Linked DNA regions of Saccharomyces cerevisiae S288C. Changing the gene in region 1 together with any one later gene gives a genetic interaction. Each region holds a gene or a part of one and is shown in the gene's direction. Other genes may lie near its edges. The genes, in order: ICE2, SEY1, NEM1 and EMC2.

Region 1 (8,323 bases):
AAAACTCGAAAGTGCTACCCACTGCATAACTTTGCTGTGCGCACGAGGAGTGCACATTTTAATGACCGTCCTTCTAATTATATATCACCGCATGAAACCATAAATGCGACTCTCCGATCACCTGCAAGCTTTGATAGTATTCAATGTATTACTAGGTCCAAGAGGGTAGACGCAGAGACCAATAAAGCAACTGGTTCAGCAAAAAGCGAAAATATAGAAACTAAGAGCAGAAAGTTCCCTGAAGTAATAAACCCTTTTCTTGTGAACACAACGAACAAGAAAGAAAGCGATTAAAAGTATTTGTGAATGATAATATTCTTCATTGTGTACTCTATACATTGTGGCAGTGCTAATATTTATTTAAATTCATAAATTTCCTTTTGTGCATGCGATAATACAGCTGCTCTTTTCGTCCCCACAATTCTTTCGAGTGAAAGACCATCAAGCTTGCTATAAATGCATCTAACAGTGGATATGTTTAAATCGGTATTACCTAGAAAGGCGTTCTTACCAATAAATCTGACAACTTCATTGTAAAATTCAGGATTGTTTGGAGGCTTATAAAAAACGACGCTCTTGACACCCTTGATTTCATAACGTCTATAATGGTGCAGTCTTTCCGTATACAACATAACTTTTAGACGCCCCTGTTGAAACAATGACCTATTTGCATTGAGCTGTCTTTGGCTAGAGTACTCATTTATATCCCCAAATAAAATCGTCGTCTTCTCTTTCATGTAGTTTCTAATACGAATGAAATCAGTGTAATCAGGAATGTAAATCAGTATTCCGTCTTCATACCCGGTGGATTTGACAATACCAGGAATGATGACACTTGTAAAAAATTTAAATCTGTAGTCAGGCTCTTCAATAATCGAATTCCCAATAATGTCAAATCTTTGAAAGATTTGCCTGATTTTCAAACCGGATTGCCCAATACTGGAGTTTTCTGATCCTATTACCTTGTGATTCTTCCATCTTCCTGCCATGTTACGGCATCTACCATTGATTAATGAATTAGCCGCTGGCGAGATGTATTTTGTGAATACCATTGTCTGTCTGAAGAGCTTAGCTTGTTCATTAATGTACCACATCCGAATTCTGCTAAAGTCAGCTTCATGTTGTTGATCCGGGATTTTGTTAAGATGGTCAAAGATGGTGAAAATATGAGATATGTTCTGGTATTCTATTGAATGTAATTGATCAATCACCATCAACTCTATTGAGGACAAAAAATCGTCCTGCCTCTTTTTTTTATCTGTATTTTCTAAGATCATTTGAATACCCAATGGCGAACATACAATAATGTCAGACTGGTAAAAATTGCTATAAAGTTTTATAGCCTTTCTTGTGAATTTGAGACCGACAACAAAAAAATCGTTGGTGTTCCCCCTAAATATGTGTTGGAAAGATTTTGGTTTGGACTTTGGAGGTAAGGAGTCGTCACGGAATTGGTCGTAGAACTTTCCCTTCTTGTCAACCTGATCTATACCAGATTTTGAAATTATCTTATCTACAACGCGGTACGCCACCTCTCTAGTAGGGACTACAATTAACACTTTTGGTCTTGTAAAACCTTGATCTAGGTGTTCAGTGTCTGGGTTATCCTGTAATCTTTGATTATTTTTCAAGATTCTATCTCTTGTCTTGTAGATGTGATTCAAAACATGCAAAGCATATAAATCTCTGTACTCGTCTTCGTCCTTTTCGTAGGAGTCATACTCGTATAATATGTCTTTATACTGAAACATGGGGTCTACTAATTTTTTTTGCAAAGCAGTCAATGGATCAGTTTTTTTATCCAATAGTCCATTTTGCACTTTTAGCCTTTGTTTCAAAAAGTATGAATATATAGATGATGACCTGTACGGACTTTCCACCAATGCTTCCTCACCAATTACTACCGGTTTAGCATATATATATGATTCACTGTCACTTAGTGAGCCCTTTACGGATTTGTATTTTACACTTTTGGTCTTGAAAGCATTCGACAACTTATCAACGAATTTCTCCGGAACTTGGTTGAAATGAGACTCGAAAGGATCTTGCTCATCTTCACTGTCTATATCTTTTTCGTCTCCACTGCTGTCATCGTCGTTATCATCCTCGTGATTACCCAAAAGGCCATTCTCTATCTCCAATTGATCATCCACTGGTCCATGTTCTGTATTTTCGTGCTCATCCTCCCCAACTTCGGCAGGAGCTTTGTTACTCTCGTCAGCCTCTCGCCTTCTTCTTTTTGGCTCTGGATGTTCAGATTTGAGAATCGTCAATAAAGCGTCATAAACTTTTTCCTTTTTACCCTCTTCATCCTCAATATCGAAATCATCGCCACTGTCGACATCGGACACTTCATCCTCATCGGATCTATGGTCAATATCTTCTGCTACGTCCTCTAATGTTTCTGTGCTTCCGCCTTCAGTTCTGGCAGAAGATCTTTTAATCTTCCTCAGTTCTTGTCTTCCTCTTTTCCGATAGCCACGGAAATTATCATTCTTTTCCCTCACAGAACTGTCACTCATTACAATTTGGTCACTTCGCAATTATACCACCGTCTCACTGAACCAATGCAGTTTATTCCCTGTATTATATTATTGCAAAATATGCGATGAGCTAAATTATAGTAGTATTGCGAAGGAAAAATTTTTCAGATCATGGTACACGAGGAATCGCATCAGCTTGAAGCGAAGCAAGGGACTGGAGCGGTTACTGGTTTCGGAGAGATGATTGATGAGAAGATGAACATAGGTAAAGGATCGAGGTGTAGTGATACTGGAAGGGCTGTGCGTAAAGTGTTGGTGGATCTTATAGTATTCGTGAAGCTTCTTTTTCCGTTTTGCTCCCCTCAGCCCATCGCGTAATTGCTTAGATCTATTAGAGAGGTGCTGTTTGTGGCCGATCACGCTAAAGATTAGGCAACGATGACCAGTTTGTCCAAAAGCTTCATGCAGAGTGGACGAATCTGCGCAGCATGTTTCTATCTGTTATTCACACTACTTTCAATTCCAATCTCGTTTAAAGTTGGTGGTTTGGAATGCGGGCTTTCCTTCACGGTGACACTGTTCACTTTATATTTCATAACTACGACTCTTAACGTGTTGGCAAGACGACATGGAGGAAGACTATACATTTTTTTTACCAACTGTCTGTATTACTCACAACATTTTATCATTGCATCTTTGCTATACCTGTTTTTGTCTGGATTTTCTAATGATGAGTTGGGAAACGTTCTGAAAAATAAATATAATGAGTCGGAGTCGTTCCTGGAAGCTTTGAAAAATAGCTTGAATTCCAATCAAATTAACTACGTCTTATATTATTACTACTATCGATTTGTTGTACAACCGTGGCAATTCGTGCTTACCAAGTCCACACCTTTTTTTACTCTATCGGAAGGTTTTTTCACTATTTTAGCCATTCAGGCCGTCGGGGAAACTAATAGATGGTTATCAAATGACTTGAATTCAAACACGTGGATTATTTCCTCATTGTTAACCTCCGGAGGTGTGATTACCGCATCGCTGTACTATTTGTATCGGATTTATGTCACCCCCATATGGCCGTTATCCATCCAAACGGCGTCCTTATTAGGACTTGTTTTGTCTATGGTATGTGGACTGGGGTTGTATGGTATTGTGAGTCAAAAAGGATCCGTCATAGAGAGCTCTTTATTTTTTGCGTATATTGTTCGTTGTATTTATGAAATTTCCCCCAAATTAGCTACTACCGCGACTGATGAAATTTTAAATTTGTTCAAAGACGTCTGGCAGAAACATCAAAGAAATCTGCCCACAGCTGACAATCTTTTGTGCTACTTTCATAATGTCATATTGAAAAATGCAGAGGTGTTATGGGGGTCCTTTATTCCTAGAGGAAGAAAGAAAACCGGTGATTTTCATGATAAACTCATTAGCATTCTATCATTCGAAAAAGTATCCTTGATATCTAAACCATTTTGGAAATTTTTCAAGAATTTCACCTTTAGTGTTCCGCTATCCATTAATGAATTTTGTCAAGTTACAATTAAGATGGCAAGCGAATCAGTTTCCCCAGCTATAGTAATCAATTTATGCTTTAGAGTTCTGATGTTTTACTCGGCAACGAGGATTATTCCAGCATTACAAAGAAAAAATGACAAACAGTTGCGCAAGAGTCGCAGGATCATGAAGGGATTGTATTGGTACAGTCCTTGCATATTAATTGCTATGTATACTCACCTGATTTTACAATATTCAGGTGAGCTAAAGAAAGACCTGTGCATATGGGGTTGCAGTGAAAAGTGGTTTGGCGTAGATCAACCAGAAATTATAGTAGATTCATGGGGATTTTGGAACTGGTGCAACATTTTCTGTACTATTTTGGTATACGCTACAGAATTAATAGGTTCTGGTAGTTGAAGCTGATGCATTGTCAAAAGAGCCGCATTACCAGCTTTGCCAAATACGCGAAGACAAAAAGGAAGGTGAAATACCAACTGACTTATAACTAAGTGATAGATGATATCTGTTTTAAGTGCCATTCCTGAACCATTTTTACATTTGGTTAGTTTCTTTTTTTGTTATTATTTGCATTAGTCCCTTGCACGTTCATAGTGAAAATCCCTTACGCTCACCACTATTTTCTAATAAATACAATGAACATTTTAACTCATACTCTAATATGTAGACACATAAATATATAAATATATAACATTTCCCTGAAATACTACTTTTATTACGTGGTAGATTTTAACCTGAAGCCGATGCAGATTATTCTAGATAATTTTATTTCGGTTTTTTTTTTTCTGTTTTGCTAATTTCCAAGAACCCTTTTTCTTCTCTTATCACAACGATAAGAGGTACTTAAGATGATCTTCATCCTTGGATTATTATTCTTTCCCTCTTAGAAAAGTGAATAATGAGAAGAATCCATTCTTAAATTTGGGAATGCAACGTACGAGGGAATTGGAATCGAGTGTCGCAATAGACCAAACTGAAGTACCCCGATCTAGATTTTTTATAATGGTTAAAAAATTATCAAGAGTTGCCGATATCGTCTATATAGTTGACACATTTCTAATTCCGCCATTGCATCCTTTAAAGAAGCAGCATCCAAAAGTTGCAAAGTTTTTGAAGGTACAACTTGTCTTTGATTTGATATCACTGTTTATTTTTGCTACGCACCAACTCCTACTGCTAGAAGATGGTAACTTTGGGAAGCACTACTTCAAAAGGAAAACAAAACGGTGCTCGAAATTTTCGTGCTCTCGCTGTAATGCAAACGCTCACCACCCCAAGTGGTTCAAATTCAAACATTCACTCCTATGTCTAGGAACGTTCTGTTTTGGGGTTTATTCGTTGGTAAAGATTAATAAGTTCTTTAAAACTGATCAGACTGTTGATCTAAACAGACTCTTAGAGCTATTCTTTTGGCAACTTAATGCAATTCTTAATATGAAGTTATTCGCCTTTTACGGGGACCATTTAGAATCACATAGTGCGCCTCTTGATGTGTATGAGGATTCTTTTGCAAACAAATCATCGTCAGGCGGTGACGAGGTTTAACAACTGTAGTTTTTTCGATAGTATCTTGAATCTGGATAGCATTTAATTGCGATTGAAACAAAAATGGACTACTGCACACTGTCTAGCGTTCGATATTTTCGTGCCATTATCACATATGATCTTCGGAAAATGAAGCAGATTATAACATCGGCTGAATTGATTAAAAATGTTAATAGTCTCCGGAAGCTGATGCGTAAAGATTAACATTGTAGTGGGAGAGTGGGTGACAGGGTATAAAAACGCAGAGAGAAATAATTATTAAGAACGATATGAATTACTGACGTTTTTTAATTTCGTGTTTAGAAACACAGGTGAATCTTCAAATAATAATGTAAATTGCATTTTTTTAAAAGCAAATCTATGGATATATTGGGTATACTGTAAGTTCTCCTCGATAGTACAGAAAACCATAACAGAACATATAATTATATGTAATTGTTGATAATTAGAGGTTAAAAATTAGTATTAATGAAGAAGTGAGTACTGATCTTCTTATACTAAATAAGAGAGGTATATAAAACACACGCCGATTGGTCATATTAATTATGACCAATATAATAGTGATTCCGGTAGTTACTATACATTGATGTGACGACTCATATTCCTCATATATGTACCTACCATAACATGTTCAACTAATAGGTCTTTAACACAGCTTCAGTATTGTCTGAGCTTCTCGTTTAACATTCCTTCTGCAATAGGCGCAATCACACTTAAACGTATACGAGTTGTACATTAATATACGATGTAAGCATTAGATTGTTACCATAGCAACTCATGTCACTATTAATTACTCTCGTTCCAACAGTAATTACCGTGGTTATTAATACGGCTTGCTTATTTGTTCCCAGTTGTCAATGAACAGTAATTGAAAGGCAGTAATAATTAGGGATAAATACTGTATATTCTTATGGTATATAAGAGAGAAATGGGTGAATTTTGAGATAATTGTTGGGATTCCATTGTTGATAAAGGCTATAATATTATGTATACAGTATATATACTAGAAGTTTTCCTCGAGGATTTAGGAATCCTCAAAATGGAATCTGTATTTCTACATACTAATATTAAGATTATTCCTCATTCCGTTTTATTCCTTATTCCGTTTTATATGTTTCATTATCCTATTACATTATCAATCCTTGCATTTCAGCTTCCTCCAACTTCAATGACAGCTTCTCATAACTTGCGTCACCATTTAACACCGTATATGATAATATATTGATAGTGTAACTACTAGTTGATAGATGATGGTTGATTTTTACTCCAACAGGTTTTTATTCCTACAATTTTCCGGACATATATATATAAATAAAGATCATTCATATTTACTGATATGGTAACATGTTTTTCTATTCAAATCAAGCTAATCAAATCCGATGTAGTGTAACGGCTATCACATCACGTTCTCACCGTGGAGACCGGGGTTCGACTCCCCGCTTCGGAGTTATTTTTTATTCTTTTTTTTTTAGGGACTATTTAGGCAGTATTTTTACCACTAAAGCGCATGAAGTCACATTCTCTGAGCCTGCTCCATTTTTTCAGGGATCTTTATTGTTTAGCAGGGTAATACCTTTTTGTAAGTGCCATAGAATAAAGTATTAAACTAGTCGATGATCGCGTTAAGCATAAAACTTTGAGTCTGCTGTCTCTGATTCTATTTACTATTTACTATATACTGTTTTATACTTCTCTTGCATGACTATTGGTCCATTTAGGCTTCATCTGAACGGTTGAATACAGTTACATACAATGACAAAAACATCACAGATAGTCCGTAGAAGACTAGCAATAAGCTGCACCTTTTGTAAAATCTATCTTTTGGTGGAATCATCTTCCCAATAGCCAAAGAATCCAAGCCTATTAATTTGTAACCTAATAATCCAGGTAAAGTGAATGAAATAGACGTTGAACCTGTAGCCCCTACAAATGAAAGAACCAGTGCAAATGACTGGACAGACAACGCCAAGGTATACATGCTTATTAGTAATAATGCAGTAATCCAGTAAAATCTAGACTTAACAAATGGCGCATGATGCTCGTTATCCCCGGCGACCGCCATAGTCCCTCTTTCATCATTATTGTTCTCTTGACTTTCAATTGAACCATTATCAAAGTTCCCGTTAGGTAGTAAACATTCTTGCTCGTTATAAGAAGTTGCGTCTAGTGCATCACTGGGCTGGGCTGGATCTTCCACAGTCATGCTAATTGGTCTTAGGTTGGAAGCACGAGTGTATTCCGAAACTTGTGGGTCCTCTTCGGGATTTGCCCCACCATAAGTGATCTCAATCCAGATGATGACATTGTTAACTGCTATGCGCAGCGGATGAAAGAGAAGCGGGAAGGAAAGAATTAACATTGAGCCAAGACAGAATTTGCCAATTACTATCCAAATTGAGTTAGGATCGTAGTTCAACATTAAATTACCCAAGGTTTCATTACCGAAGGTTAAATATCCTGATAAACCAACGATCAAAAATAGTGCTGTTGATAAGGATATCGAATTATTGATAACGAAAGTGATATTTTCCATGCTGTTGTCTTTTAATTCATTTATCATGGGGAATAGGTTCATTGATCCCGTAAAAGCAAAAATTATAATGCTAAAAGTTGATAATAATCCTTTAAAGTCGTGAATTTTCCACCAGCATATGTCATTTCTTAATATATTTGTTAATTCACCCTTTCCCAGCTCAAACACAAAATGACTGAACACCAGAATTGATATGTATGCTAGCGCGAAAAGACCTAGAATACTAGAATACTTCAATTGATCTAGT
Region 2 (8,819 bases), on another chromosome or scaffold:
TTGTGCGTATTAATTCTTTATTTCCGACCGTGAACAAGCGATCGAAGATTGACGAGTACAAGCTCATTGCTGTACCTAAAGATAGATCCTTGTCTAAAGGAACAGTCAATTTCGTCAAATCCGACCATCCAACTTCCATATCGTTGGATAGACATAGTCCATTTTCGAAAAGCGTCAACTTAAAGTAGATCAGAGAACAAAAAAACACCAATGTTTTGGAAAAAAGCCCTGCCGTGAGGCTCATTGATAACGCCATATGTGGCGGTAAGTGCGGGTTGGAGGCTTCGAATTTCTCTGGGTAAAGTGCTTTGTCGATACGATAGCATCGAATTGTGGTATTCACAATGATGGAAAAATTGATCAAAACCAATTGAAACGTATTATTTTTGGATTCTATGTTTCTGACTTTCAGCACAGAATGTATTAGTGCATAAAACGACAATAATAGTCCGACTGCCATACTTAAAATTCTACTTTCCCTTAATGGAACTTCTTCCGATATATTTTCACCTGTGTAATGTCCAAGTGGACCAAGTTCTTCTTCTACAAAATTGATAATTCGCTTGGAATAAGCTTTCAAATCCGGGAATTTATCTCTATCATAAAGAGTTAACAACATTGGCCTTGTAAGTTTTAAATATCTTTTCAGCTTCCCCTCATATGTTTTACTTTTACTATTCAATATGCAATGATCTTGGTTTTCGTCTAGATAAAATTTGTTAATCAATAAGGGTCTACCAACGTTACAAGATATGTTATAATCGATAAATATTGCCATTAACCAGACATTTTCTAAACTTTCGATGCTACCCATAAAAACCTCATGTTCCTTGAAAGTTTCTCTAATGTTTAAATGCAACCCTATTGTAGTAACCGTAGTAACTAAACATTCATTTATATTAACCAAATCGGAGCCATCTCCACCGAATGAATATGTTTCACGATGGTAGTAGAAAAGTATTAACATTTGTGCACGCTCAATGTAGAACACCTTAGCGGTGGAGGCCCCCTTTAGTAAAGTAAAGAACTTCTCAATTGGGGTTGGGACATCTGTATGGAAGTATTTCAGACATAGGATTAATAGTATCACAGCAGCTTTGTAATAATTTTTCTTTGGATTGGATAAAATATAAACTATGGATCTGTCACCTTCCGCCTTTACCTCTTTTTCGGGCATGAAATAATCTAAAAAGTCTCTTCTAACTTTTGCCTTATCAAGAATCACGTTGATCTCATTGCATGCTCCATCATTAAAGAAATCATCTAAAATAGACAAAGCTTTGTTATATGATGGTAGGAAACGACATATCTGTTTGATTAATGGATCTGGCTGCCAATCCGACTCATCCAAAAGGCCTAGTTCCCTGCACATCGTTTTTTGGTTGTTTTGCTTCCATTTATTTCTTTCTACTTTAACCTTCGCCCATAATTGTTTATATTTTTCAATGAACCCCCAATTACTATTTGCAATTTGGGTTCTCATAGAAGTGGGGCCGTATAGTGTTGATCTTCCGGAATGTTTACTTTGTAGGTAGTACCGGTCGGCATATGGATTTATTACACCATCGGGTAATGGAGATGAAGTTTCAGTAGAACCTCTACCTACACTAGTGCCTAAAGGAGGGAAATTTGGCGAAGTGTACATGGAGCTCGCAGACGAATTAGTGTTTTTTTCAGCTTCTAGAATACGTATTTTGTTTTCTAGTTCTTCAACTTTCTTAAGTAAATCGGCGTTAGGATAGGGACCATAGGTAGCTTTCTTTTCGATGTTTTTGTTGAATTCTTCAGCATATTGACAGGTTGTTAAGTTTCTAGAAATGCATGTAGAACACATAGGTTTTTGCTGATCACAACGAAGTTTTCTCCTTCTGCAAAAGCCACAAGATTTTATAAGCTTGTTTCTCTTCTTACCGCTAGTAGAAGTTGGTGTTCCTGAGTTACTTCCATTGGCTCCACCGGCCGTACTATTACTATTATCGCTTGGCGGCGTAACGTTGGTGGCCTGGAAACTTCCCAACAAAGCATCGCTTCTTCTTTTCATTGTGACGCTATTCTTATTGGCACGGCTGAGGGCAATAAACTTTCCCACTTTCTCGTTGATCTTGTTGTTCCTTTGATCTAACTTTTCTCTTGTAATTCCGAATTTTTGGCGTTTTGGTAATTCCAAGGGGAAGTTGTCTATTACATACGTCTAGTGATGTGGAATACTATAAATGTCTTGGTATTGTTATCCTTTTCCCCGTATATCAGCCTCTACCCCATTAGTAATATGGCATGGAACCTTTTAACGTTTTTCTAATTTCCGCGGATTTAACTCCGTTCACTATGATTTCTGCCAGTATGATACTGGCAGAAATCTACATTCGCTATATATAAAGAGGATATACTGGTAATAACTACAGCTTCCATGTGAGCTTAAAACGATCATGCTCATCTTTCTTCATCTTGATAGAGATTGGTAATGCTGTCATACTCCCGTGATTATAAAGCAGAATGAGAAATATTGAGACAACCGTAAAAACAGCTACTGCCCAGAATTTAAACCTTCAAACTTCATCATCAGAAAGGTATACTGTGTAAATAATGCGTAAATAGTAGGAGCATGGTGTTCTCTTGTCGTTGAAAGAACATCTGCGGCGAGCACGTGCGGCTTAATTCTCAAACGTCTCGCGGAGGTAAATAGTGTAAAGGGAAGCCTCAACTTTAAGACATGAAATCACACTGAAATAACGCCTGAAAGGTCAGGAACAGTGAGTACGTAGGAGTATAAGAGCGTGGGGAAACACAAAATGGGCAAAACCGCGGATAATCATGGTCCAGTACGTTCTGAGACAGCACGTGAAGGAAGAGAAAACCAGGTTTACTCACCCGTTACAGGTGCAAGATTAGTTGCTGGCTGCATATGTTTAACACCCGACAAGAAGCAAGTTCTCATGATTACTTCTTCTGCACACAAGAAAAGATGGATTGTCCCCAAAGGTGGCGTTGAGAAAGACGAGCCTAATTACGAGACGACTGCCCAACGAGAAACTTGGGAGGAAGCTGGTTGCATAGGTAAAATTGTCGCCAATTTGGGTACAGTTGAAGACATGAGACCCCCTAAGGACTGGAACAAAGACATTAAGCAATTCGAGAACTCTCGAAAAGATTCAGAAGTAGCAAAGCACCCGCCAAGAACCGAATTTCATTTTTATGAATTAGAGATTGAAAATCTCCTTGATAAATTTCCGGAATGTCACAAAAGACATAGAAAGCTATACTCTTATACAGAAGCTAAACAAAACTTGATAGACGCCAAGAGGCCTGAATTGTTGGAGGCCCTTAATAGGTCTGCTATCATTAAAGACGACAAATAGCTAGCACATACATATATATGTATATACGTCATGGTCGTCAAGCCACCGCAAACATATTTATCTATTCCTTCGCAAATATGCTCTTTTCACTTCGATCCGCCCAGGAATCCCGACATCATGTCTTGTAGGAAATTCGTTTGTTTAGGAGCAACAATATTGAAATATTCCTGGCCCAAAAATTCTAACTCACTTTTGTAAGCTTGAGAAAAATCTAAATAATGGTTCTTTAAATTCAAGAAATAGCTCTTATCCTTAGTCTGACAGGTAATTAGCAACAATTGCAAAAAATTTAGGTCGGAATAATCTTCAAAAAAAACTATTTCATAACCATTTTTATCAATTTTCTCGTACTTGGGGTGAAATTTCTCAATAAATCTTTCCAAAAAAATGTCTTTTGATTCATGTGCAAATGATATGTTAGAGATGAATAAATAGTTGAAAACCAATCTGCTGAAGAACTCAGCCACCGTGCTATCTTCGATATCATCAACTTGGCATAACCAGTCCCATAGTAAATCGACATATTTGATCATTGAATCATGTGTACCTAACATAAAATATCTCTCAGCTTCATAAACGAAATCTCCCTCTAATAGTTTGCTACCAATGGTGTTGTGCAAGTAAGGATCTCCAAATTTGTATTCACTAAATTTGATAGACCAATTGTTCATACCAGTAATAACGTCCTTTAAATTGGGCTCGCTAGGATCCAATTCGGCTATTAATCTAACCAATCTAGCAACTGAGATGTCATCAACTTTAACTTCCGCTAAATCATAAACTTCTAAAAGATAGAAGATCAAATCCGTGCCTGAACCGCCCTGCTTCGCCTTTAAAAATGAAAGGGCCCCTTGACTAATTAGTTCTATGGCATGCTCGTATGATTTACTTCTAACATATCTATTAGCAATAGTTCTCAACGTTTGATGCGCTTCGTAATAATCTCCAGCTTTGATCTTATTTTCGAATCTTTGTAAGGTTTTAGCGAGTTTCGCTTGTACAGCATTAGATTCAGCAGGAACCATAGCTTGTTATTATTATTTATGTCCCTTTATGATGTTTACTTGGTTGTTTTACCGCACATGTTATTATTTCATTTTTTTGACTTTCCTTTCACTTTTTTTCCCATTGTTTGTTACCTTAACGAAGAGCGACAAAACGAACAAAATACTGAAAGGTGTATTTTGATGGTAAATAATTATTGACTTATTTCAACAAACGGGCTACTAACTCACTCGACGGTTGACATACTTTAGTCATGGCTGATAGACCTGCTATTCAGTTGATAGATGAAGAGAAGGAATTTCATCAAAGTGCATTACAATATTTTCAACAATGTATTGGAAATCGTGATGTTGGTCTAGATTACCATGTCATCTCAGTTTTCGGTTCTCAATCGAGTGGTAAATCGACTTTACTTAACGTCTTGTTTAACACCAACTTTGATACCATGGATGCTCAGGTGAAAAGGCAGCAGACTACTAAAGGCATTTGGTTGGCTCACACTAAACAGGTTAATACAACTATTGAAATCGATAATGATCGTCCAGATATTTTTGTGCTAGATGTTGAGGGCTCCGATGGTTCAGAAAGAGGTGAAGACCAAGATTTTGAGAGAAAAGCCGCTTTATTTGCCATTGCAGTATCTGAAGTTCTTATAGTTAATATGTGGGAGCAGCAAATTGGGCTATATCAAGGTAATAATATGGCTTTATTAAAAACAGTTTTTGAGGTCAACCTTTCCCTATTTGGCAAGAATGATAATGACCACAAGGTGCTGTTACTTTTTGTAATTAGAGATCATGTAGGTGTGACTCCACTCTCGAGTTTGAGTGATTCCGTTACGAGAGAATTGGAAAAAATATGGACAGAGTTAAGTAAACCTGCTGGTTGTGAGGGTTCTAGCCTGTATGATTATTTCGATTTAAAGTTTGTCGGGCTAGCTCATAAGTTGTTGCAAGAAGACAAATTTACCCAGGATGTCAAGAAATTAGGTGATTCGTTTGTGATGAAAGGTACGGAAAACTATTATTTCAAACCTCAATATCACCATAGGTTGCCATTAGATGGTTGGACTATGTACGCAGAAAATTGTTGGGATCAAATTGAACGTAACAAGGATTTAGATCTTCCAACTCAGCAAATTCTGGTTGCTAGATTTAAAACTGAAGAAATATCTAATGAAGCTCTAGAAGAGTTCATTTCAAAATATGATGAATCGATTGCTCCTTTAAAGGGTAACTTGGGATCTTTAACATCTCAGCTAGTGAAGCTAAAAGAAGAATGTCTGACAAAATATGATGAACAAGCATCGCGCTATGCAAGAAACGTTTATATGGAGAAACGAGAAGCTTTAAATACAAAGCTGAATTCACATATTTCAGGTACAATTAATGAGTTCTTGGAATCATTAATGGAAAAGTTATGGGACGATTTAAAATTGGAGGTGTCTTCTAGAGACAAAGCTACTACCTCTTTTGTAGAAAGTGTGGCGGCAGGTAAGAGTAAGATTGAGAAAGAATTTAACGAATCAATGGAGACCTTCAAAAAGTTAGGGCTACTAATATCAAACGAAGAGATTACCTGCAAATTTTCCGACGATATTGAAGAAAGAATCAAGCAACTACGTGATGCTGAATTGAAAGCAAAAATCGGTCGTATTAAAAAAAATCTGGTTCCCGAATTAAAGGATCATGTGATTCATTTACTATCACATCCATCCAAAAAGGTTTGGGATGATATAATGAACGATTTTGAATCTACTATCAAAGACAATATATCTGCGTATCAAGTGGAAAAAGATAAATATGATTTTAAAATTGGACTTTCAGAGAGCGAAAACGCGAAGATTTACAAAAATATTAGAATATTGGCGTGGAGAACCTTGGATACCACAGTACATGACTACCTGAAAATAGATACGATTGTTAGTATATTGAGAGACAGGTTTGAAGATGTATTCAGATATGATGCTGAAGGTTCTCCAAGATTGTGGAAAACAGAAGAAGAGATTGATGGGGCATTCCGTGTTGCAAAAGAACATGCCCTGGAAGTTTTTGAGGTTCTTTCACTTGCTGTAACCTCAGATAACGTTGAAATTATTCCTGATGTACCAATGGCTGAAGAGGAAAGCGGCGAGGACAACGAAATATATCGGGACAACGAAGGTGTGTTTCATTCCCGTCGTTTCGCACACATCTTGACTGAATTGCAAAAGGAGAATGTTTTAGATCAATTCCGCAGGCAGATTAACATTACTGTTCTGGATTCGAAAAGGTCTATCATCACTACTAGAACGCATATTCCACCTTGGATTTACGTTTTGCTAGCCGTATTAGGGTGGAACGAATTCGTGGCTGTCATAAGAAACCCCTTATTTGTAACCCTTACCTTGATCTTAGGTGCAACCTTTTTTGTTATTCATAAGTTCGGCCTCTGGGGCCCTGTTGTTAATGTTGTTCAAAGTGCAGTTGGTGAAACAAGAACTGCAATAAAGGATAAACTAAGGCAATTTGTCGTTGAAGATCATGAAGTGAAGGAATCTTTTGAAATGAAAGATTTCTCAAAAAACGAGCAAAAAGAAAAATGATATGAAAATATTTTTTGATCGAATAATTTATTTCAATTTACCGTGTTTACTTTTTTGTTATTATAGTTATTATTATAATTACTGTTCTCCTAACGTGTCTGTGTGTTTGTATATAACTATAGGGAACTATTTATATGACATTAAAAATATATGCAAATGCATATCGCAAGCTTATGAGTTGTGTGAGTGGCTTCAATAAATCTGATAGATTTACACTAAGCAAAACATTTCAGGTTGATATAGCATTGATAGATGTTTTCCATTCATGAATCTGTTTCTCTAAAGATTGTTTCTCCTCATTTGTGAATTTGCTGAATAAAAAATGCAATACAGTCTCCCAAAATTGTTCAAATGTTCTTAAGTCATTCAGATTTGTCGGTTTTGATTTCAAAACTGTTGGTAAGCTCTTCCACTCATTCTTCTTTATCTTTGAACAAGTGAAAAGTTCCGAAAATACAGACACCCAAAACAAATAAATGTAATTCGAAGCGTTTTCTATGGTAGTTAATTTATCTGGGTTGTAATCTATGAATCCAATATCTTCACCATATTCCTTTCTTAAAGTGTGGTCAATAGCAAAGAAAATAGTTTCTTTTACTTGCTCAAACACATTTTGTGAGACTTTATCGAATTGCAAAGGGGGCGTTTCTATTCCAGGAATATGAGCATATGATGTGACATTCTGATCGAAATTATTTACTGTAGAGTCACGCAGATTAGCAAATCTCAGTTGGTTTTCTTCATATGCTCTCATTGCAATTATTTTCGCATCCATGTTCTTCCTAAATGAAACAGTTAATATATCTTCAGTTAATGCCTTTGTACAAAGATTCTTATCATTCGAAAGCAAAATAACAAAACAATTTAAAATCTCTTTGAAGTACAAGCAACAGTCCAATATCGAGTCATCCTTTAAACTGCCTGGATTCAAGCTTTGTTTCAATTTTTGACCTATTAAACCGGAATCTAAATTGGCTAGATTCTTATAAATCCAGTCGTTCCCCCATCTGGCCAATGTGCCTATTGTCCTATCATGTTCCTGATTAGTTGTATCGTCATTGTCCCTAGCAATATCAGGGCTCTTTTTTAGTCCGTCCAGTTCTTGGATTACGGTGGTTGGTACAATAATCAAATGATGATAAGTGCTGGACAGTGATCTCAATTTTTCTAAAGTGTTTAGATGCGAAATAATAAAGTTGGTGTCGACTACAAAGGCAGTTTTCAAAGTAGGTGGATTTAACAGCGGTAAATCGTCATTGATTTTTGGCATATAATTAGCGACAGATTGTGCTTCCATCTCCCTCTGGCTAGAAAGATATTCAGAAATCATTTCAACGTCGCTTTCATCATTCAAGTCACACATCGGAATATCGCCTTCTTCGTCGTGATTTATACAGCCATTACTATCGCCTGATTGGCCTCTATTTTCATGTGAAGATGTGGATGCTATGATGTTGTCGATGTCTTGTACCGTATATTTACCGTGTGGTCTTAAGCTAGCGATATCTTTAATCGATTCGGAGATTTTGTGAGATACCGAACCATTGAAAGTTTCTGATCTTATATGGTTGTTACCTTTTGGAAAAGCTCGTTTCTCATCGGTCATGGATTTGGTAAGCAGCTGGAGCCACTAATGTTAGGCCTACGTATATAAAATTCTTGTCTACCATAGAAGGCCCATAACAACTAACGCGGAAGAACTCAATATACCCAAAAAGTATATCAATGCGGGTATGGTTTTTCGCACCTAAATAATTAGTGAATATATCACGAGTTACAATAGAGTTATTAGTATTATTGTATTATAGTGATGTACTATTTAAAGAAGACATATATAAGAAACAAAAGGCACAAATATATAAGATAGATTTTGT
Region 3 (8,118 bases), on another chromosome or scaffold:
CACCCAGAAGTTCAAAGTCCATTTGCTTCTGTAACATCTCATTAATGGAAATCATATTGCTTTCCTTTGACTGATTGATTGCGTCCTCCTCGGTTTTGTCTGGCTCCAACAACGATTGCTCTGAATCCAATGGGTATGACTTATTTGTTTCTGTAGTTGTTATTGGATCGCCTGAAAGTGGAGATAGCGCTGAGGAGGCAGAGGATAATGCTGGAGAATCCATATGCAATGTGTATCTTGATGATTGATACTCTTGTGGTACAGAAGATGCATTTTGGGGTGACAAAATTGGGGGAGATATTATTGACCACTCTTTGAGATTTTGGACTTCTGTAGGTCCTCTTGATTGTGTAGTTTGTGTAGGTCTTGATATTTGTTTGCGTTCAAACCATTGAGTGCCTATTCCAAAATCGTTTTTTTCGGTTTTGGTTGGTATGATCTTGTCATTAGGGCGTTCCTTGGACTGCATTACTGTCGCTTCTATACAATTCTTATTTTGTAAAGCTGGTTCGGAAACACTTTCGTCGGATGAGATGAACCTTGTTTGGCCATCCGAAGTCTTTATCATTTTCATTTTAGACGTCTTTTTCTTCTCTCGTATTCCCTCTGAATAGCCTTCTGGTAAACCTTTGCAACTCCCAGCCTCAATGTGGTTTTCCACCCAGCTCTCACTAGTGCTAAAGTGTTCCCCACATTGAGTGCACACTCCAGGTGATTTATTACGGTCCTGAGGCTTAACACCTTCTGGGTAAGTGAAATGTCTAGATTTCAAATGTGTTTTGTAGGTATCTCTTCTGCTAAACCCCCCAGAAGTATGGCATCGCAATTCTTGCGAAATGCTATTATCAAAAAATGGACAGTGATAGGCCTTCCTTTTCGCATGCTTTTTTATGTGTCGTGTTAAGTAACCTCTGATTCGGAACCTAGCATCGCAATAGTGACATATATATGGTAAAGTTTCGGATGACTCATCAGCAATTCCTTGAACCTCATCGGATAGGGGAGATTCATCAATACTTTTCTTCGATGCAGGAGTGATTACGCTACTTACGGGCGTGATTGGAAGGAAATTAGAGGGGAAAAGAGCTTTGTACTGGTCATTATTGATATAGGATTCCTCTAGCGGGGGAGAACTTATCAAGTCATTCTGTAACTTTGCTGGCTCGCCGCGGCTAGGGCCCCGTAAAATCGGTTCGTCCAAGTTCAACTGTGTAGTGACTGCACCATTATTATCAATTTTAATTGAGAAAGGTGTTTCTAGGTTATCCAAATTTAAAGCACAGGGTACAACTGAAGATTTTGATGTTAGACTCAATTGTTTGTTGTTCTGTTTGGGAAATAATTCGCTCACGTCAACCAGATCGTCCTTTTCGGTAGCACAGCAGTCTTTCTGTGGATGGTTCTGTTTCGCAGGTTCTAACTTTTCGAAAGGAGTACTTTTCGAAGATTTGTCGTCTTCCACATTGGGCACAATCACTTGCTGCACTAATGCTTTAAGGTAGTCATATATCCTTGTTAACACGCTGTTCCGTGTTGAAGATAGTGATAAGATAGGCATGATAATGGATTTCCTTACTTCCCCAACTTTTTGCTCTCTTGCATTTGTCTGTTTGTCGGATGATTAATCACTGTTTTTCATTTATTAATCATCGTTTTTCTCGCTTTTTGCCCGTATTGGAATGTGAAGAGAAAAAAAAAATGATAAGAATTCTAAAAAAAGATACTCTTCGTTCGAATGGATGACTCTAAGAAGGGTAACAGACTTTCAATCTTCAAATAACATTATAATCTCTATTCTAGCCCTTAGAGGAGCATGTCATGCGTTCAGAACCTCCATTAATAGCTTACTTTATAACTTTCTATCAGTCACAAGTTAAACGTCGACAATTTTTGTGGGAAATGGTCTGTTTTTTTTCTTCAGTTAATAAATCTCGTTCTTGACTGCAGGTAATTAATGGTATCGTGATCGTTACCTATGCTTACACACTATAAGAATTTTCTTCGTGAGAATTGGCCCATTTCTCTGGTTCTTCTGAAGAGAGTTTTGCTGACCATCAATCAGCTTTACGAAAATTTACCGCCCAATTTCTTGCCAAAATGCCATCCATATTCCCATTCATTGGAATTCTTTCACTATTTTATCATTTCAATGTTCTTTGTAGCAACAGGCTCTTCTTTTTCACGCTTACTGTGATCATTTGTTATAAGTGCTGGTATTTTCTCTCTTCTGGAATTCCGTGCTATTGATATCACGACATGTGCGCTTCTCATGATTTTGCCGCCCAAGGCACATTTTGCCGTCTGTTTTTAACCTAATATTTATGTCGCGGGTATATTATCATATATTGCGTAAGAGGATGGTATTGCTGATGGGAAGTGGTCAACAAATTCAATAGGCACTGAAATGTAAGGGCTGACAATGTAATTGGATAAAGAAAGGCAACACATGAAAGGAAGAAAAAAAAAACGTTATTTATTATTATGTAAAACTATTGACCTCACCTTTGTGATTCACGCTGTCCTCGTGAAAAAACTTTTTTTGTTTTTGTAGACCTAATAAAAGAACCTTTTTTAACAATGTCCTAACAATAATTTCAACAGTTGCCAAACCTCAAATAGTGTTGGAATAAAAATCCACTATCGTCTATCAACTAATAGTTATATTATCAATATATTATCATATACGGTGTTAAGATGATGACATAAGTTATGAGAAGCTGTCATCGATGTTAGAGGAAGCTGAAGTGCAAGGATTGATAATGTAATAGGATAATGAAACATATAAAACGGAATGAGGAATAATCGTGATATTAGTAAATAGAAATATAGATTCCATTTTGAGGATTCCTATATCCTCGAGGAGAACTTCTAGTATATTCTGTATACCTAATATTATAGCCTTTATCAAAAATGGAATCCCAACAATTATCTCAACATTCACCCATTTCTCAAATAGTATGTTTTGGTGTTAAAGAAGAACATTGGAAACAAAGGAAAGGTAAGCATTAGCCCGGAAACAAAACAAGAGGAAGTAATATACACCTTTTTGGTTAACTTGTTCGTTCAGAAGAGCCCAAGTATGTAATTATTTTTTGCAAATCTTTCCTCAGTAACGATAACGACACGAAGGTAATATTTTAAAACATTTATCAACAAGTCACTAAATATAATCTGGGTCCTATCACTATTAGAGCTTCTATGGCCAAGTTGGTAAGGCGCCACACTAGTAATGTGGAGATCATCGGTTCAAATCCGATTGGAAGCATTTTTTGCATTGATTTCCCAATTCGTAGCTGATGATCACCCTCTGAAGCTATCGGACATTTTTTTTCTTTAATTTTTTCAGCGAGAGAGCTGGCAGTGAACGTACAAGAGCAAGCTCTCTAAAGAACTATTACTCTCCTCGTTCCCCTCTCATGTCTTTTAACAGATAAACAAGCAAAAGAAGGAACTATCATACTTAGAAAAACATGTCTTTCTTAGGTTTCGGTGGTGGTCAGCCTCAATTATCATCTCAACAAAAGATTCAAGCTGCGGAAGCTGAACTAGATTTGGTCACAGACATGTTCAATAAATTGGTTAATAACTGTTATAAAAAATGTATCAATACTTCTTATTCCGAGGGTGAGCTGAATAAGAATGAATCTTCGTGCCTAGACAGATGTGTGGCCAAATATTTTGAGACCAATGTTCAAGTCGGTGAAAACATGCAGAAAATGGGCCAATCATTTAACGCAGCCGGTAAGTTTTAGAAATGTGCATTAAAGCAGTAATGATAAGACGAAAATAAGAAAAGAAATCCATAAGCTGTTTTACTCGACTCAACGTTATAATTAGTATTATTGATTCATATCCTGTATATACAAGTAACATTATACTCTTTTCTGTACTTCATCTTTACCTTTTTATCTTACATGGCACATGTTGTTTGAAAACAAGATCATAGGTGGATAAAGCAAGCCGAATCTAAAAAAAAAAAAATGTCTCTATTGGAAAACTGAATGCATAACGATATTCCCTTTTCATGCAGATAACACTGACTAGTTTCAATTTGAAACGCATCTTCGTGTTATTTCACCGAAACGCACTCGGCTCAGCATGTTAAAAAGCACATCAATTTAGGGCTCTGCGCGTCCTTCTGCGTATTCTTCCTTGTAGAAATGCAATTAAATGGAGAGCAGAAATTTTTTTGTTACATATTGTTTTCCTTAAAGGGAAATATTAAAAAATAGTCTAAAATGAAGAGGATAGTAGAATTCCACCAATTTCTTTACGTTTTATATTATTCGTAATCTTTTGATCTGTTATTCATTTTTTCTTGTCACTCCGTTTCTAACATTTTTGACCATTTCTAAGACCAAACTGAGTAGAAGCTATTCATACTGTAAATTGGTATTTTAGCATCACATCAATAATCCAGAGGTGTATAAATTGATATATTAAGGTAGGAAATAATGGGGTGTACAGTGAGTACGCAAACAATAGGAGACGAAAGTGATCCTTTTCTACAGAACAAAAGAGCCAATGATGTCATCGAGCAATCGTTGCAGCTGGAGAAACAACGTGACAAGAATGAAATAAAACTGTTACTATTAGGTGCCGGTGAGTCAGGTAAATCAACGGTTTTAAAACAATTAAAATTATTACATCAAGGCGGTTTCTCCCATCAAGAAAGGTTACAGTATGCTCAAGTGATATGGGCAGATGCCATACAATCAATGAAAATTTTGATTATTCAGGCCAGAAAACTAGGTATTCAACTTGACTGTGATGATCCGATCAACAATAAAGATTTGTTTGCATGCAAGAGAATACTGCTAAAGGCTAAAGCTTTAGATTATATCAACGCCAGTGTTGCCGGTGGTTCTGATTTTCTAAATGATTATGTACTGAAGTACTCAGAAAGGTATGAAACTAGGAGGCGTGTTCAGAGTACCGGACGAGCAAAAGCTGCTTTCGATGAAGACGGAAATATTTCTAATGTCAAAAGTGACACTGACAGAGATGCTGAAACGGTGACGCAAAATGAGGATGCTGATAGAAACAACAGTAGTAGAATTAACCTACAGGATATTTGCAAGGACTTGAACCAAGAAGGCGATGACCAGATGTTTGTTAGAAAAACATCAAGGGAAATTCAAGGACAAAATAGACGAAATCTTATTCACGAAGACATTGCTAAGGCAATAAAGCAACTTTGGAATAACGACAAAGGTATAAAGCAGTGTTTTGCACGTTCTAATGAGTTTCAATTGGAGGGCTCAGCTGCATACTACTTTGATAACATTGAGAAATTTGCTAGTCCGAATTATGTCTGTACGGATGAAGACATTTTGAAGGGCCGTATAAAGACTACAGGCATTACAGAAACCGAATTTAACATCGGCTCGTCCAAATTCAAGGTTCTCGACGCTGGTGGGCAGCGTTCTGAACGTAAGAAGTGGATTCATTGTTTCGAAGGAATTACAGCAGTTTTATTTGTTTTAGCAATGAGTGAATACGACCAGATGTTGTTTGAGGATGAAAGAGTGAACAGAATGCATGAATCAATAATGCTATTTGACACGTTATTGAACTCTAAGTGGTTCAAAGATACACCGTTTATTTTGTTTTTAAATAAAATTGATTTGTTCGAGGAAAAGGTAAAAAGCATGCCCATAAGAAAGTACTTTCCTGATTACCAGGGACGTGTCGGCGATGCAGAAGCGGGTCTAAAATATTTTGAGAAGATATTTTTGAGCTTGAATAAGACAAACAAACCAATCTACGTGAAACGAACCTGCGCTACCGATACCCAAACTATGAAGTTCGTATTGAGTGCAGTCACCGATCTAATCATCCAGCAAAACCTTAAAAAAATTGGTATTATATGAAGGAACTGTATAATTAAAGTAGTGTTTAGATACGTAAATTCTGTTTCCGAAGATGCAAGAAGGAGCAGCAGCACCAGAAAAAATTACTATTTTTCTTCTCCATTAGAGTCTATGATGGAATGCCAAATGAAAAAGCCATTTTGTTCAACAGTTCTTGATCTCGTTAAATCGTTCCGGGTTTTCAATTGAAAAACAAGGGTAATAAAATCGCATGAGAAAAAAAAGGTCCAGACACTTTTTTAGAAGAAAAACTCTTGAAAACAATTGATTCTTCTACGTAAGGACAGGGTATTATCTCGAATTCTTCTCCCTGGTAAATACTCGGGATATATAGAACCTATTTTGCATCCTATTCTCACTTTTCTTTATTGTTGTTAATTTCTGGACATTGTTTCATTAATTGAATGAATGCCCTAAAATATTTCTCAAATCATTTAATAACTACAAAGAAACAAAAAAAAATCAATGTTGAGGTGACAAAGAATCAAGATCTACTAGGCCCTTCAAAGGAAGTTTCGAACAAATATACTAGCCACAGCGAAAATGATTGCGTTAGTGAGGTGGACCAACAGTACGACCACTCCTCAAGCCACTTAAAAGAATCTGATCAAAATCAAGAGCGCAAAAATTCTGTTCCTAAAAAACCAAAAGCTTTACGTTCCATCCTAATAGAGAAAATAGCGTCAATTTTGTGGGCACTACTACTTTTTCTTCCGTATTATCTGATAATCAAGCCCTTGATGTCTTTATGGTTTGTTTTTACCTTCCCACTAAGTGTCATCGAGCGTCGTGTAAAACACACCGATAAGAGAAACAGGGGTTCAAATGCTAGTGAGAATGAGCTGCCTGTCAGTTCAAGCAATATTAACGATTCTAGCGAGAAAACAAATCCTAAAAATTGCAATCTAAATACGATTCCCGAGGCAGTTGAGGATGACTTAAATGCCAGTGATGAGATAATTCTACAAAGGGATAATGTTAAAGGCTCATTACTTAGAGCTCAATCTGTCAAATCAAGGCCAAGAAGTTATTCCAAATCAGAACTATCACTTTCTAATCATTCAAGTTCTAATACCGTATTTGGTACAAAACGAATGGGAAGGTTCTTATTTCCAAAGAAGCTGATACCTAAATCCGTGCTTAACACACAAAAGAAAAAGAAACTGGTTATAGATCTCGATGAGACCTTAATTCACTCGGCTTCTCGAAGTACAACGCATAGTAATTCTTCTCAGGGTCACTTGGTGGAAGTGAAGTTTGGATTGAGCGGAATTCGTACACTATACTTTATTCACAAGAGGCCTTACTGTGATTTATTTTTGACAAAAGTTAGCAAATGGTACGACCTTATCATTTTTACAGCATCCATGAAAGAATACGCTGATCCTGTGATAGATTGGTTAGAAAGCTCCTTCCCATCCAGTTTTTCAAAAAGATATTACCGTTCTGATTGCGTTCTAAGGGATGGTGTTGGATACATTAAAGATTTGAGCATTGTCAAGGACTCCGAAGAAAACGGGAAAGGCAGCTCCTCTTCTTTGGATGATGTCATTATTATAGATAACAGCCCGGTAAGTTACGCAATGAATGTAGATAACGCTATTCAAGTAGAAGGATGGATAAGTGATCCAACTGATACGGACTTACTGAACCTGTTACCTTTCTTGGAGGCTATGAGGTATTCAACAGATGTCAGGAATATACTGGCATTGAAACATGGAGAGAAGGCATTCAACATAAACTGACAATTGTTATTGTGTCCTTCCAAAAAAGATGAGAATTTTAGGTGATAAATCGCCTATCCATTGCTGCTCATTTAATGGAAAGGTTATTGCATTCAGGGAAAAAAGTAACGGGAGAAAAAAGAGAAAAGACCTCTTTTTTGTTTTCTACATACGAGCATATTAATTATTTAGCAGGAAGATATACTTGATCTAAACAGTATATATATATATATATATATATATAGGTTGGGAATTAATCTTGAAATTTTTTTAGTCTTACGTTATCTTCAGCAGTGACACGCTAAATGCCCGTATCTTACTTTACATTTTGCTGTCAGGTTTTTTGATTTCTTTTTCATATTTTATGCAGTAGCGAAAAGAGACAAGACTATGAAAAAATTTTCTAGCGTTAGTAAAGTATTAATACTGCAATTAGTTAGGATAGCAGAACGAACAAATGGCAAATAATACGTGGAAGTTAATTGCTACTACAGCTCTTATATCGGTGTTTTCAACCCAAC
Region 4 (7,741 bases), on another chromosome or scaffold:
GTCATTATCTGAATCTATACCTTTGAGCAAATGTGATGAGGTTGGTATAGGTATGTCAAATGTGTTATGTCCTTGGTTACTGAAACTGAATTCATCTGTGCTGTCATCTAAAATAGCATTCTTTCTCCCTACATCTCTATTTTTTATGATATGGCTTGTAAAATCTATAACCAAATCCTTATCTTTGTTGTCTCCGTTGGCAGAATTATTATTAAGGGAGTGTTCGCTATCTTCCTCATCAAAGATTTTTCTAGGCGATATTCTCTTAAACTTTCTTTTCTTTTTTATAGGTGACGATGATTGGGTTAGCTGGACATTTGGACGTTTGATTTCTTTTGCAGTTGGTGTCGAAATAACTTCTTTCTTATCTGCTAAAACATCACGATTTATATTGCCCTCTTCTAATGTAGTGCTTCCATTTTCCATGTTGATTTGTTCTTTTTCTTCCACACTATTACGTTTTACATTTTCGCCTTGTGCTCCATCAAGCACACTTATATTATGTTGAATAACAGATATATCTGTCTTCTCATTATAATCGTCAAGTTGAGGACCAGTACTAGATGGAGGTGACTCAAATAAAGGACACTGCCTTTGAGAAGCGGTTTTCGTGTTGATCACTTCTCTTTTCCCATTTTCGCCTAAAGTTGGAGAGACTTCGCAATTTTTCGTGATACTGTCATTGTCATTTTTTATTCTCTCAAATCGATTACGTGTCTGAAAGAAATAACAGTTCCCATTTTGAGAAACCTTATAATGTCGGCTCATCGGATCGTCATTTATTGACCAACCTTGTAACAACTGTTTGCAATAAATACAATAACAGGTATCGTTCATAAGTGTTTTATCCATGCTTGGATCGCCTAAGCCTTCTATGCTGGAGTCGTATCGCATGAGTCCTGCATTCACCATCTTTTCTATACCCAGCGGATGTTCATTTTGAGAACCACTGTGAGGCCAGTTATCTTGAAAAGTAAATTTTCTTAGGTTTATCACGTTTTCATCATCTGGATTGCTGAAGTACTTGTCATTTTTCCAGTCCGAAACCCCCATATGGAAGCTATAGTCCGTCAATAGCTTATTGCGCAAGTAAATAAGGAGGCAAACTTGTTTGTTATCAGTAACAGTCAGATGTTGCCTCATTATATTGCTTAGAGTCTCAAGAACATCTTTTCTTTTGGATCTGCAGTCTCTCACATTGTATGTTTGACGATGACAATAGCAACATCTTACAGAGTCTTTTTTCAGTTTAGATGTCTTAGGATCGATCACTGGATCAAAGTAAAATCCAAGCTTGGCCATTGCCTGATACGGAATAACTTTAAAACTCCACTTTAACTTTTTTTTTTCAAGTGCAACACCATCTTGGAAAGTCCTTAACCTATTCTCCAGTTTGGTCATGCTATATCGCTTCTCCATTTTATCTATTTGACCATCCATAATCCCATGAGGTATAAACAACCGATGTGTCCTCGAATGTTGCACGCCCAGAGAACTTTAGCTAGGCTTTCAACACTAATATGAAACCTCAATCAATCTGAAAGAACTATAGGACACACTATAACTAAAAGTGCTTGATGACCTTGACCGATGTGTGAAATGGGTATGTATTGCAATATTATACTAAACTGTTAATCTTCGTATCGCGTGATGTGTTAGAAGCGTTGACTAGTGAAGTTAAGTAAAGAGATTTGGATCGTTAATGAAATAAATAACTATGTATGAATGAAAGGCATTGGATCGCATTGGAACGGAGAAAATTATAGAAAGCAGTAGATAAAACAATGTTGAAGGATTTGGTTAGAGAAAAGCTTTTGACAATTATGAATACCAAAGCGTATACTCAATTTAATCCAGAACAATTACTGCAACTAGAAAATGAAATGAAAATTTACATGAAAAGCGGAGACTCTGCACTAACAGAAGGAAACTATTTCTTCTTGATGGAAATGCTTTTCTATGTTTTGGTGTACCGAAACCAAGACGTTGATGCGCAAGTTGTTTATAATACATTAAGAGATCGTCTTGGTGAAAATTCGTATAAAATGGTAATCATGAAAGCCACTTTATTGCAGATAAACGGAAATGATAAAGGCGCTATTGAATATCTGGAAAATTTGTTGAATGATGATCTGGAGTATGAAACGGACTTCGTTACTTATGTCTCTATTGCAAAGAAATTGATAGCTATCAAGACAACTTCCAAGAACTTGAGCCAAGAAAGTGTTCTTAAAGAAGTGGTAGCTCTTACAGATAAATTCCCGCTTGATGCAGAATTGTGGTGGTATGCCAGCGAGATTTATTTCGAAATGGGCCAATTTGAAAAAGCCTGTTATTGTTTGGAACAGGTCCTATGTATTACACCATTCAATTACGCTTGTTTTGGTAGGCTAAGTGAGACTCTGTATTATGAGGCTCTACGTAGCAAGAAACAAACCAAGACCGAGCTCTTGGAAAAGGCATTAAAGAATGCTTTGAGGAGCGTTGAACTTAGCGAACTATACCTAAAAGGGTGGGCATTGGTTAACATCATTTCTCGCGAACTGGGACGTAATAAACAAAATGACTTGATCAAACTATCTGCATCGAAGCTAAAGGAAATTTCTGCGAAGTCTAACAATAAAGATAAGATTACCGCTGAATTAATTTTGAATAAGATATGAACGGAGCCAAAATTAGAAGAAAAAAAAAGATAGGGTGAGAGAGGATATGAAAAAGCATGTATATTTTTTTTTTTTTTGGATTCTATTACTATCATTACATAAGCGTACAACAAACACTATTTGAGTTTGACATTTGGCTATTTTTTTGAGCATTTTTCAAACCCTCTATAAAATGATTTGATCCTGCTACGGGGTAGCCCCATAGTTCTGGTAATGTATAATCTTTTGTATTCGAGGTATAGTTTATTATTGTAAGACATGCATTTGAAGCAGTAATTCTTTCACGGCTGAGTTCTTTCCTCAGTTTATTGTTAAGTTCGTTGATTCTTTTTAACTTCAATTGTTTTATCTTTAAGGAAAGCTGTTGCTGTTGCTGTTGCTGTTCCTGAGGTTGTTGTAAGCGTGGAGAGTTTTGAACTGATGTCATTCTTAGAATTATTGAGAACGTTTGCGATTGCTACTATCCTAAAATTGACAGGTGCTGTCACAAAACATTTCTGTTCTCCTTGTTAAATATTGCATCAAACATTTAGAGCCTGAAACAAAAATCAACATGAAAACCGGGTAACAGGGAGACATTCACTCATCACATTGACAAATCATATTATATAGTGAAAAGCGTACGTAAATTTTGACTATAAAGCAAGATTTCAAGAGTTGCAGATGATATTAAGACTGTCATCAAGCCGGAAGAGAAGCTAGTACGAATATTTCTTGTCGTTTTTAATTTCTCTCTTTATACTCGTTCCAAAATTGTACGATGGCTGCAGTAAAACTGGTAATCTAGGATCACTACTGAGCATATTAGCATTAACGAATATTTCACTACCGAAATGCATATACTCTATTAGTTTTTTTTTTGTAAAGGAAAGTTATCAACATTCATTTTGACCCAATAAGTATTCAGAGGTTAATATTTTAGACGTGTCGCGCCCTACGGGGTTGATGAAAAGGTGGTATTTAACGAGAAGGGGGAGCAGATCACATGAAGTTATTAGGTAACAGCGGGAGACAAGACAGAAACGAAGTTTGAGAGAAAGGAACATCAGATCACACTATGGAACATCCAGCATATACATTGAGTCTTTTGACTACAGCCGGTGGCCTTATGGGATACTACCGTAAGGGCTCCATTCCATCTCTAGTATCTGGCTTAGTATTCGGTAGTGTATATGGGATTGCCGGTTACTTGCTACATATGAATAGAGATGGTGGGCTCGAAATGGCATTGGGTGCATCGACCTTACTACTTGGTGCTGGTGTCATAAGAGGCATGCCTTCCAGGTTCACTAAACCTGTCCCTGTCGTTTTGACAGCTTTGGGTGGGCTCGGCAGTTACTACTATTATAACAAATACAAGGAATTTTACCCTTAGAGAAGGAAGAAGACGCACGATATATATACGACCCTATATATATATATAATATGATATTCTTTTATGAACAAACTTTCTTTTTTTTTTCTTCGTTCAATTATTGACTATTTTTCTATCATTTGCTATGGGGAAAGGGCTCCTTCTTACTGAAAACGATGCAGCGGTTGGAGTGAGAAAGATAAGCACGCAAAAGCCCACTTGCTATAGCACTTGCTAGACGGCATTCTAGGGCATCCAACTGCTCCTCTTCGTCCTCATTGGCAGAACTATCGTGTTGTTTTGTTGCCAGAAGAATTTTCAAGGGCATGATACTTTTCCGATCATTCCCCCATTGCCAACATCGTTGTACCAACCGAGTGAAGACCACCTCTCGAAGTAATGTGATGACGACATGCAATCCTTGCGAAAGGAAAAATCTTTCATGGCTTGCTGCGGTAGCCTCGTACAGTGACAGGTTCCCTGAGATTACGCTACGCACTAATGTCGGATAAACTTGACTTAAGCGCTTACTCCTAGTAATTACTCCGGCGATTACTGGATGATCCCAGTGAGGGTACAACCTTTTAGTTAAAAGAGCAAGCGGAACCAGCAGTATCATTATCTTTTCCATTTGGCCCTGTAAGACGAACTTGCCGGTAGATTCCACATATAGCATTGGACATTGCAATAATGCTTCATTTAAATGGAAGAACCCGCGTTCGTGATCGTTTTCCAGACATCCGTAGTATTGACCTAGATAATAATTATACAACACCACTTGAGACTTATGTTCCATTGCCAGGCTTTTATTCAACGGTGGTATATCCCGGGCGTTCACTCTGCTCTCGAGGACTTTCACTAAATTTTTAATCATATCTTTATTACTTAACCGATGGTAGATGGAAAACTCTAGATTAGCAAACATATAACACCCGATTTTTTTATTTTCATTCAATCTTGGGTTCCTATCATTGAGGCATATAGTAAAGCTTCTATGGATAGTGCGTCCACATTCCTCAATTGAGTCTTTATTAAGTTCACTAGATTCGTTTGCCAGACGAATTAATTGTTTAGCCATTACCCACAGCGGATAAATTATCCAATTGGTTTCTCTTTCTACTATTCTGTTGAAAAGTTTCAACTGTTCATTGGCTAATCGCAGCAATTCCTCAGTAGCATTCTTGATCCGCCCTTGCTTCTTCAATGACCTCCGCTTGGAATACTTCAATTTTAGATCTACTCCTAATTGGTAAAACCTTTGTAATCGTACACTCTCTTCATCTGTCGCCGTAGGCCTTTGTAGTATATATTTAGTCTTTTTAGGTGTTTTAACGTCATATCTGATGAAGTCTAACAGTTTGTCGTCATAGCGTTTCTCTTCAAAATAACATCCTATATCAACATCCATGATTGGTTGTAGAAACCGTTGCTGGACCTTTCTGTTCCTGTGTAACTCTCTCCAGACATTCCTTTACATACAATTTTCTTTTTTTTTCCTGACCTTTATCGTTAGCTTTTTCAAAATCAAAAACAATACGATTGAGGAATACTACTAACTAGCCAAAAGCAATACAAAATACATCCATACATACGCCCTAAAGTAATGTCAGAAGACCAGCGTGTAATTAGTCAACCAATTGAATTACATAAGCTGTCGATTGTCGATAAACACTCCCAAGGACAGCAGCAACAGCCGCATCAAAAACAACATGAAGTGCAGCCTGAATCAAAATCACCAAGGGTTACGACACCTTTAAAGCCCAAAAGACTTGCTATACCTATATCAAGTCCGCAAAGATCTACGACAAATCAGTCACCCGTGAGCGACCACGCAAGTCCGATTTCAACAGACCAAGATTTAATATATAAATTAGCTGCAAAACACAGAGAAATCAATGAACTTAGTTTCAAATTAGAGGTCGCCCAAAAAGAATTAAAACAATTAGAGTTACAGTTCAAAGATACACTGCCCCGAAATGGACAACAGAAATTAGGTAACCAGAACCCAAGTGAATACCTCTCTACTTTTACCAAAAGAATTCAACAGACATTTGTGGACGTAAATAATTCACCAAATATGCTCAAGGGAAAAAAGAGTATAAACGATTTTTTTAGTAAGCCCAATAATAATGTTAATAGCAACATAAATAACACTCTACCCAATCGTAAACCGAACCCTCCGCCTAATCGGTCACAACGTATGCAAAATATTGCTCCAAGCCGTAGTTCAGAATCAACTCCAACATCGGGTCCTCCCTTGCTACCCCCAAGGAATACTATGAAGAATGCTAATACCACGGCAACTGCTGGGGAGAACACACCATTCTTACAAAGAATACTTAACAAATTCAATCAAATGAATATGGAAGAGGACGAATTCGATGACCTTTTGGAAAAGAGGAAAAGTAAGAAAGATCACTATTACATAAAAGAAAATTTGGGTTACGAATACGATGAAGTACGCAGTGAAGACGAGGATGATGAAGAGTTTGAACCCATGGGTGACATACCCGTTCATTTATTTAAAAGGTAGCTAATGTCCACTATTGATGCTTTCTCAAGAGACCTTCATATGTAATATTCTCATTAAATACAAAGATTAAACGGCTTCATTTATGCATTCCTTTATTTAGGTAAATTTTTTTTGCCCGATTTTTGGTACTACTGCTTTCCTTTTTTAAATGTAATTGATATTTTTAAAAAAACCTCACATGTAGGCGATTAACCCAGGTCCTTCAACAACTTGCCGACTATGCCATTAAATTAATGATTAAAGGTGTGTAAAGCCACAACGAAAGCAAAGAATATACGTAAGATAAACATCTTTAGAGAACAGCCATTTTCCATCATCTTTCCGTTTGTTACCAACCTACGCCTAGAAGAAAATGACTGATGAGCTGAAAAGTTATGAAGCATTGAAAGCGGAACTAAAAAAGTCCCTCCAAGATAGAAGAGAGCAAGAAGATACCTTTGACAACTTACAACAAGAGATATATGATAAAGAGACCGAGTATTTCTCACACAATAGTAATAACAACCATTCAGGTCATGGGGGAGCCCATGGGTCAAAATCACACTATTCTGGTAACATCATAAAAGGGTTTGATACCTTCTCCAAGTCACACCACAGCCATGCAGATTCTGCATTCAATAACAATGATCGTATTTTTTCATTAAGTAGTGCTACGTACGTGAAGCAGCAGCATGGCCAATCACAAAACGACTAATGCGATAGCACACGTTGGTATTTACGTTGCTTGACCGCTCTAAAACATCTGATTGAAAAGAAAAAGAGAGAAGAAGGAAATGATTTCGACAGGTGACCTTTAAGTTCGATATACCTACATATTGGCTATTTCTTTTATTTTTCATTTTCTATAAAATATCTATATAAGTATTTTTATAACGATTTACTAACAAGGGCAAAATTTCAAAGGTCCCGTGCTCCCAGTCATTTTATTGGCTGGCGAATAAACGGATACAGATAAACAAAACAGAAGCACAGAAAAGGATATCCACCCATCATGATAAGCCCAAGGGTGAATACTCGAGTTTGGCAGAGATCAATTTCTCTTTTGAGCCCACAAGCGGCCAAGACGGAGAGTAATGTCGTAACTAAAGAAAGGACATATATCGAGAACTTAAGCAAGGATATTGCGACTTCCCGTTTCAGGCTAGTAGACGAAAATGGTAAAATTGCATCTATCACTGTTCAACCAGATAT

What was found.
Region 2: mutations in ICE2 (region 1) and SEY1 together harm fitness more than expected from each alone (negative genetic interaction), as found in Saccharomyces cerevisiae (6 studies listed by BioGRID).
Region 3: mutations in ICE2 (region 1) and NEM1 together harm fitness less than expected from each alone (positive genetic interaction), as found in Saccharomyces cerevisiae (5 studies listed by BioGRID, with this or other methods).
Region 4: mutations in ICE2 (region 1) and EMC2 together harm fitness more than expected from each alone (negative genetic interaction), as found in Saccharomyces cerevisiae (4 studies listed by BioGRID).

The regions. Positions count from the first base shown.
Region 1 is NC_001141.2:190,674-198,996, forward strand, and holds ICE2 (Ice2p), read left to right. Parts: upstream 1-2,921; coding exon 2,922-4,397; downstream 4,398-8,323. Other genes in the region: YIL092W (uncharacterized protein), read left to right, coding at 1-294; rRNA-binding ribosome biosynthesis protein UTP25, read right to left, coding at 357-2,522; YIL089W (uncharacterized protein), read left to right, coding at 4,926-5,543; AVT7 (Avt7p), read right to left, coding at 7,258-8,323.
Region 2 is NC_001147.6:639,952-648,770, forward strand, and holds SEY1 (dynamin-like GTPase SEY1), read left to right. Parts: upstream 1-4,614; coding exon 4,615-6,945; downstream 6,946-8,819. Other genes in the region: YRR1 (Yrr1p), read right to left, coding at 1-2,041; polyphosphatase DDP1, read left to right, coding at 2,790-3,356; protein GET4, read right to left, coding at 3,443-4,381; SWT1 (mRNA-processing endoribonuclease), read right to left, coding at 7,175-8,551. UniProt on the Saccharomyces cerevisiae protein: Cooperates with the reticulon proteins RTN1 and RTN2 and the tubule-shaping DP1 family protein YOP1 to generate and maintain the structure of the tubular endoplasmic reticulum network. Has GTPase activity, which is required for its function in ER organization.
Region 3 is NC_001140.6:111,254-119,371, reverse strand, and holds NEM1 (Nem1-Spo7 phosphatase catalytic subunit NEM1), read left to right. Parts: upstream 1-6,277; coding exon 6,278-7,618; downstream 7,619-8,118. Other genes in the region: STP2 (Stp2p), read right to left, coding at 1-1,558; protein transporter TIM10, read left to right, coding at 3,471-3,752; GPA1 (guanine nucleotide-binding protein subunit alpha), read left to right, coding at 4,455-5,873; TCD1 (tRNA threonylcarbamoyladenosine dehydratase), read left to right, coding at 8,055-8,118. UniProt on the Saccharomyces cerevisiae protein: Catalytic component of the NEM1-SPO7 complex which acts as a phosphatase and dephosphorylates the phosphatidic acid phosphohydrolase PAH1. Essential for the formation of a spherical nucleus and meiotic division.
Region 4 is NC_001142.9:581,417-589,157, reverse strand, and holds EMC2 (Emc2p), read left to right. Parts: upstream 1-1,784; coding exon 1,785-2,663; downstream 2,664-7,741. Other genes in the region: BIR1 (survivin), read right to left, coding at 1-1,440; STE18 (Ste18p), read right to left, coding at 2,758-3,090; TMH11 (Tmh11p), read left to right, coding at 3,721-4,038; YJR084W (uncharacterized protein), read right to left, coding at 4,154-5,425; ACF4 (Acf4p), read left to right, coding at 5,621-6,550; EAF6 (Eaf6p), read left to right, coding at 6,903-7,244; AIM24 (Aim24p), read left to right, coding at 7,542-7,741. UniProt on the Saccharomyces cerevisiae protein: Part of the endoplasmic reticulum membrane protein complex (EMC) that enables the energy-independent insertion into endoplasmic reticulum membranes of newly synthesized membrane proteins.